2 linked regions of the Nothobranchius furzeri genome follow. The protein of the gene in region 1 binds, or shares a complex with, the protein of each later gene. Links are inferred from orthologs where the notes say so. Each region holds a gene or a part of one and is shown on either strand. Other genes may lie near its edges.

The links. The genes of interacting proteins can lie anywhere in the genome.
Region 2: the proteins of mediator of RNA polymerase II transcription subunit 13-like (region 1) and ccnc are in contact, whole or in part, in a cryo-EM structure (PDB 8TQC), measured with the Homo sapiens proteins. The link is inferred for Nothobranchius furzeri from reciprocal best matches to the Homo sapiens genes MED13 and CCNC. Residues at the interface, in NP_005112.2 of Homo sapiens: Tyr1342, Ser1630, His1631, Val1732, Lys1733, Thr1734, Thr1736, Phe1738, Gly1739, Pro1740, Gly1741, Ala1743, Arg1897, Met1898, Ile1901, Asp1905; in NP_005181.2 of Homo sapiens: Gln7, Gln13, Trp14, Leu16, Gln19, Lys23, Gln26, Lys27, Arg75, Tyr76, Glu144, Leu145, Asp147, Cys148, Ser221.

Annotation. Positions count from the first base shown.
Region 1 is NC_091753.1:50,238,107-50,241,758, forward strand, and holds part of mediator of RNA polymerase II transcription subunit 13-like, read right to left. Parts: intron 2,702-3,652; coding exon 2,556-2,701; intron 2,467-2,555; coding exon 2,269-2,466; intron 1,948-2,268; coding exon 1,753-1,947; intron 1,664-1,752; coding exon 1,507-1,663; intron 1,416-1,506; coding exon 1,308-1,415; intron 1-1,307. UniProt on the Homo sapiens protein: Component of the Mediator complex, a coactivator involved in the regulated transcription of nearly all RNA polymerase II-dependent genes.
Region 2 is NC_091742.1:26,778,114-26,782,324, forward strand, and holds the start of ccnc (cyclin-C), read left to right. Parts: upstream 1-1,403; 5' UTR 1,404-1,520; coding exon 1,521-1,552; intron 1,553-1,824; coding exon 1,825-1,931; intron 1,932-2,051; coding exon 2,052-2,136; intron 2,137-4,211. UniProt on the Homo sapiens protein: Component of the Mediator complex, a coactivator involved in regulated gene transcription of nearly all RNA polymerase II-dependent genes.

The DNA of each region.
Region 1 (3,652 bases):
CTCAATATATGACGATTGGGGATGCCCCTGCGCGTCAGGAGATGATGATCAGGGACATGCCGGGACACGTGGCTCCGCTGGCATCACTGTTTGACGCACGAGGTCACACGGACATTATTCGACTATTTAAACTTCCCCCCCTTCCATAAACTGTGACCTTAAAGTTAGGATTGGGGTCAGGGGAAGGTTAAGTAGTTCACAAGTAGTTCTAATGTCCGTCTTAGCACCAGCGTCGGATACCGACGCTCTGGGACGCTGCATCACCAGTTTGTCCCTGATCGTCGTCTCCTGACACGCTGGGGCGTCCCGAATCGTCATATATTGAGGCTTGGTCACACGTGCAATATTTTGATGCTTTGGCTGTGAGAATGTGTTGATTAAACTTGCACTTCCCCATGGCTCAAGCTCCCACTAGCTTAACCAGCTAATGTGCTCATCTAAAAATAGCCCCCTTTCACAACCAACTGAATGTGTACGGTTCCGCTTACGCCAATATCATACACAAAAAATGCTGAACACCAACTAGAAAATCCCCAAAATTTTATAGAATCTTGTTTATTGGGTCTTTGGTAATTTAAGACATTTGGAAACTGAATTTAAGGATTATTTGTCATTTTTAAGGATTTTTAGGGCCTTAAATTTGGAAAAGCAAATTTAAGACTTTTTAAGGACCCGCGGATACCCTGTATGGGTGAGTCCAAGCGCTGCTTGACGTAGATCTGTCAGGTTTCTCAAAGCCTAGAGTTTCACCGTCTATTTCCAATCATAAGCTAATCAACAACCTCTTCTTATTCAGCTGTTTCTACCAATTCTGATGATAAAGATTGCAGGAGTGATTGAAACTGTCAGCAAGGTAAAAAACTTCCTGTGATAAAAAAAAAAAACCTAAAAATGCATTCAGAAGAAAAACAGAACGAATATACAAAATATATAATCAGAAATATTCATAAAAAAGGCAGAGTGTGGAATCTGCACATATCTTATGCAGAAGGCTCTGCACATAAGAACCGTCCATCCATCAGAGCAGAATGCTGATTTTTCTCTTTTGCACACATTTATTACATTTTTACTGAGTGATCATCTTAGCTTTCAGTGGAACATTTGATATAATTCATGTTTTTAGATTAGGAATTTATTTTACATACAATTTTACAAAATTTCTGGTCAAAACTGTGAGGAAACATTTGAGAGCCGAAAGAGACGTTTTTTTTCTGGTGAACCTCAAGGACCAGCTCTCTTAAAAGAGCCGGAGATCCAACCACTATTAAAAACAGAAATCCTTCGTAAATTCTCTACCGTATTTTTACCTTGAACAATTGCAAGATGGTCTGCAAGTAGGTTCCACAAAATCCCAGAGTCTTGTTTTCTCCAATTCCTCCTCACACGCGCCGTTTGTCAAGTTGGTAAACTTCCTCCTAAACAACAACAATGCAAATTTCAGCCAGTGGAGAGAGAAAACTTTACCAGTAAACAGCAATTTACAGGAAATGGTGGCAGTAAACCCACTTGTTCCCAGTACGGTTGATGTTATACTCCTGCCACACTGATTCCACCATCTGACCAGCCAGCCTGCGGGGGATTTTACCCCCATGAAGAGTGTTGTTAGAGTTGTAGCAATCGGACGCAGAAGACAGCTTTAGCCAGCGGTGGGCAGGCTGATAGTCTGAGGAGAAAAACAAACAAACAAAAAAACAGATTAGTAAGCAAAATCTTCCAGAAGCAAAGGTTGACATAAGTGCGTTTGATTCTCACCAGTGTGAGCCTCTTCTGGTGATGTGGGCGGAGTCAAGGTGACAGAGGATATGGCGGGGTCTCTGTGAGTCGCCTGACCCTGCTGAGCGCCACACTGGGCCCCCGGGGTGTTGGCCGAGCCCTGGGAGACTACGGCGGGGAGGTCCGATAGGGGGAGAAGCACAAGGCAGGATGGGTAAACCATCCTCACCCCCGCTGAAAAAAGCACAAACACTGATTTTAAAAACCGAATGTGACCATATTTACAACAGTTATGTGAATATTTAGACTCAGGATCACTGGTACAGTAAATTAACTGGGTGTTTATTAGTGAGGAACTCAATTAGGATTTATGATTTTCCTCCAGTCTCAGGTTTGGCTGTAGTCGTGCAGAAAAGCCTCTTAAGCAGTTTCAACTAATATCCATCACTAAACACATCCTTTGAAAAGATCTGTACACTTTAAGTTCAGTTAAAACTTACCCGCTTGCATCCCCTTCACTCATCGCTGCTTTATCAAATAATTATGACGCCTTACCAACAAGGACTTCCACAGCCGCTAGGGAGTCATCCTCCCAGTCCGTATCCTCCAGCTTGTCTTCCTGGGACTCCTTGGGATTCAGACAAATGGGATAAAACTGCCTCCACTCCTCGATGAGTTTCTGAGTAGGGTGATCTGACATCTTAAACGTTTGGCCGGTGAGTGTCCCGTTCAAGCCGTATGGGCTCAGGATTACTGCAAGGCAACACAGTCACAATAAATTTGATATGGGCACAAAAAAACCTTCGCAGTGAATGAAAAATAGATATAATATGTAAAACTACCTTGCAGGGGGCTGGAGCTCTGCTGTGCAAGGCTTGGATGCTCTTCGCCGAGTCTCTGAAGTGGCTGATGTTGGGCGATTTCCACGCTCGTGCACACATTGCTGTCGCCATGAACGAAGAAGGTGAAAGAGCAAGACAGGTGCTCGCTGTAAACAAAGGAAAAAGAGGCATTTTAATGTTTTGAACAATTAGTCAGAAGACAAACTACATTTTCAAACACACAAAAGGCAAAAATGAATGCTTATGTCTGACTTACATGTCCAAGAAAAAAAAAAAAAACTATAAAAACACTGACATCAGCAACAAAATCTATGTAATTGATAGAGATGCTCCAATCCGATCGGGCCCAATCGTGTGATTTTAAAAGGATCGGAATTGGGTAGAAAAGATCGGATTTAGCCTTAAAAAAAACATGACTTTTTACAATTTGAAACTGTCAGCGTTGATTTTGTTTTTTTCCCCCAATAATTGTTGTTATTAAAACAATGATAAAGGTAGAGTTTTATTGATCCAAAGTGTCTAATGTGAATTTTTCCTATTGCTTTAGTAGATGTAGTTAACATTTCCTTTACAGAAGTTGAAAATGATCGCATCAAAAGAAAAATACACTAAATTGTGACAAAAATATTAGCAATGCAAACGTGCAGCTGTTAGCCAGCAGGCTAACGTGTCTCCTCAGGAGGGTGAAAGTCATCAGTTTGGTGGCATTGAGTGTAACAGACGTGTGCAAACTGGGCATTTAAGGTGGTGGAAAAGGTTGAGCTGTCACCTATGCCACCTTCAAAACAAACTACTTTTAAGATTTTTCCTTCAGTTGTCACTAAAACAAATCACCGATTTCCATTGACTCCTAGTTTGCCACCAATAGTCCCAGTTCACAGCGGCAACTTGGACAAAAACGCAGAGCCAACCGACAAAGATATGCTGATAAAAAAAGAGATATTGCAGATGGCGGCCTGTGGTAGCTACTGGTGTTGTGTCAGAAAAGGTTAGCCTGCCAGCCCTGTCACAGGACTGCTTATTGTTCAATACATCCATATTTTGAAGGTTTGAAAGACTTGAAATATGAGCTACGCAGTAACTTTTAAATAACATTT
Region 2 (4,211 bases), on another chromosome or scaffold:
ATACTTTACCTATACCATGGCATCAAAAGGTGCACCTACAGTAGAGTTATAAATAAGCATCAGACAGTTTATTTTAGTTCAGCTTGCCTTTTCGATGTACACGGGCAAGCGATCGTTGAGGACGACCATCTCCTGTCGTTCACTGCTACGAGTCATCTTGAACTCCTGGTTCGCTGCTGCAGCCATGTCCAAGTCCAGGTTTGTCCCCTTCCTCATGGACACATCCAACCACAGCGTTCCTATACTCCCACTGCTGGTAAGAAAAGACAAGTAGATGTTTTTCTCTTTTTATACCCCAATGTTTGAAGTTTGCTTTGTCTAAATGAAACTTTTTAACACATTTCATGGAAATGCAGAGTTTAGTGTTTCAACATTTGCCATCTTTTTGTTGGAGCACTGCTTCACCCACCTAGTGAGACGAGACTTGGTGCTCAGAGTTCTGCACCCCATCGTCTTCCATCCCACACTTCGGCTGAAGCTGGAAGACCTGTGACGGCTAACCTTTCTGGTGGGAGATGGACTTGACGCCCGAAGCTGGCTTGCAGGAGACGGACCCTTGTGGCCTTCGAAATGACAGCGATAGGAAGACGTCCTCTCTGGACTTTGGCTCATCTTGATGGCGTTTTAACTGATTTAAGTTCTGCTGAGGAGTGAAGAACGCTCACTCAGTTGTTGTATGGTGGAGGATTTTCATACTCTTCTCACCTATTCCCTCACCACCACAGAGGAATGCTGGACCCTCCCATTCCAGAGGGCGAAGTCCCCACAAACATCTGTCGAGGTCATGATTAATGCAGCTTATAGACTGTAGAAAAAAATAATACACTCAGGGTAAATTACTCTGCTGACCTCTTAAAGGTTTAATTTGAGAATGTTTAGTCTTATGCAATCAAAACAAATATGAATCTAGTTATATTACTGCAGCTAAATTATACCACAAGCAATAACTGCTGTTGAAAAGGAATGGCTGATTAAACGCATATCCTACGTTAGAAAAAAACATATTTTGTACACAAATAATATTTTAAAGTTTTCAGCTTGTTTTTTAATCAATCAATCAATCAATCAATCAATCAAAGCTTTATTTATAAAGCGCCTTCCGCAACCCTGTCAGGAAGCCCAAGCGCTTTACATGTTTAGTGACACGTTCTGTTGTGTAATTATACATTTATACAATGTTTTCATGTTAGTATTGTTTTTATTATTGTTGTTGTTGACTTACACAATTATAAGCCATGTTTTCTTTTCTCTTTCTTTCTTTTCTTTTATTTTATTATTTTTTTAACAAATTATTTAATTCCACGTTTATAAATAAATAAATAAATAAATAAATAAATAAATAAATAAATAAAGGGAAACCAGCGCGACTGCAACCCCGGAACCATATTTCTAAGCTACCCGGTAGGTCTTTGGTGTTACACCAGCGTTTGCTAGCAAAACTACTTTTCTTTTGTATTCGCTGGTTTTGTAGGTTAAAACATTAAATACAATTATTTTTTCCGTCTTCAAACCGAAACGACATGGCGGGGAACTTTTGGCAGAGTTCACATTAGTAAGTTGCCATAATTATCAGACCTGTTACGTCCAAATGTTTTAATTCATCGCTTTTGTTGTGAGGCCTTGCTTGTTGCGACTGTTCGAGCTAACACTTTAGTTTATTCCCACCGTAAGTTTTAATTTATTGAATAGATGCAATAGACAGATAAATTAAAAGTACCAGTTTTTTACAAAGATGGAAGTTCCTTTTTAATTGTTTGACCATTCGTATCGTGCCTCTTTCTGTTGTGTTGTTCGCGTTTGGTTTATGTCTTATTTTTTATTTAGCCTTCAGTGGGTTCTGGATAAACAAGACCTAATGAAAGAGCGCCAGAAGGACCTGAAATTCCTCACAGAAGAGGAGTACTGGAAGCTGCAGATTTTCTTTGCAAATGGTAACTTTTAAAATCACCTGTAATAACGTGTTTACTTCAGAAGCTCGTTTATGTGTAGCTGTAGATACAGTTAGTGCATTTCCCTTGAACATATCACGTTTCTATGTTTTTTTTTTCCAGTGATCCAGGCTTTAGGTGAGCACCTGAAGCTGAGACAGCAGGTCATCGCCACAGCAACAGTCTACTTTAAACGCTTCTATGCCAGGTGAGAAGCTGTCTCAGGTAATGATGGAGATCAATGTTGATGCCATCACCAGCTCAGGCTCTTTAAAAACCTTAGTGTCTTTTTAACTCGCGGTGTTTTATTTTACTTACAGAATCAACTCGGATTGTCACGATATTAAAATTTCAAACTCGATTCGATACGGGGGGGGGACTCGATACTCGATTTCGATACTATTTAAAAACACCAATTTATTGAACAAGTTTATTCAAAAAATAACATTCCTCCATTTATATTGCAGAAATTAAATGTTAAGAATTAAGTGTGTAACGTGCTTAAACCTTTCAAGTATCAGCATTTTTTTTAAACGTGCATACAAAAACTGGCGAAAGTTAACACTTTAAATCATGAATTGTCTCACTATATATACACTATTTGCAGAGTGATGTTTTGCTGCTTAAACTCTGTTTAAGGTGCATTTTTGTCATAAGATGTAACGTCATATGTTTTGTTCTGTACTTTTGAACAACTCTGTTGGTCAATAAAGGGAGAAAACGAATTTCTCCACAGTAGGACAAAGGTACATCCACCGGTAATCTTAATAAAAACAGACTGGCGCACGGCAGTGACGTCATTAAAAGCGCTGGTTAGATTAGCCGCGGCTAGTCTGTTTACGCCTAGAAATCCCAGACCCGCTCCAAACGAACAGGGGAATCACGTTAATGATTCCTAACAAAACCTTTCGACATGAAGATGTTTTGGTGCAGATAATGTCTTATTTCGAGGCTGCACCATGGGTGCCCGTCCGCACCCGTTATATGGATATACACTGACGGCGATTCGGCGATGGATCTACGGTAAATACCCCGGGGAATCCAAGTAGCACCAAAGTTGTCGGCGTGAGTAAACAAACGTACTGCATGCTAGAAATTAAGTCCGGGTTGCAATAAACGGGAGTTTCCTTTAAGCACATAAGCGTGAATATACAACTACGTGGCGGACTTGGTATGCTAATTAAGTTGGGCTGTGAAGCGCCTCCCAAATTCACTGTTTATGTTTTTGTTTATTTATTTGGCAGACAAAACTTGGATCGGAGACAACTCGCGTGGGAAATTGCAATGTAGCCATGCGGCGCCTTCTTCTTCTGTTTGTCTGGGAGGCGGAGGCTGCTTTACGGCATCTGGCTGTCGTGCGTGTCGGTGTACTTGAAGAAGGCTGTGTATAATAGTCCATAATATCGATACCACAGGGATGGAATATCTCATTTAGATACCACTTTTAGCATCGTTTATATCTAGGTATCGATTTTTTTGACAACACTAGAATCAACACATAAACCTGAAATAATTCCAATCCTCCCACTTAAACATACAGGTTAATTCTTATCATTCAGCTTTGATTTACTCTTTAATCAACTTATAATGTCAAGTTTTTGTGCTGTTGCAAGCTATGAAAATGCAAACTAGAAAAGGGTGGTGTCGGTACAGGATCGGCTCGGGGTCCGTCGACTGCCGATGACGTCTAAGTAGTTGATTGGCTGAACATGAACCTTAAGCAATTACGTAATCACGTTACGTTGTTATCACGTTACGTTGGTCCAGGTAAATCTTTCTGTTGGAAAGATGGACAACTTTTACAAAGAAATCCATCATTACCTCTATGAAAATACACTTTTAGCATAGAGCTGCATGTATATTAGGGCTGAACGATTAACTGCATGTGCAATTAAATTGCGATGTGACAAAAGGAGATTTTCTAATCTCAAAGGCTGCAATTTGGCAGCGAGTGGTTAGCGCAATGCTAATATACATGGAAAAACCCATAGGAATGCTAATGCTAATATCACCGATTACATGCTTACAAATTATGAATTAGAAACGTGCCAAATGATTACATTTGGAGTCTAATAGAAAGTAAAACTACCATCAATCAAATAAGTACAGACAGGTATTTTAGTAAAGCCAGAAAACTTTTAACTCCAGAGTTTTGGCTAGCAGCTATGAGCGTAACTGAACTACGCATGGACAAGACGTCAAAAACTCTAAACACAAAATACTTCAATAAACGGGACACACTTCTTTCCTGCAAATACAATTTCACAGGTGTTGCTAATACCT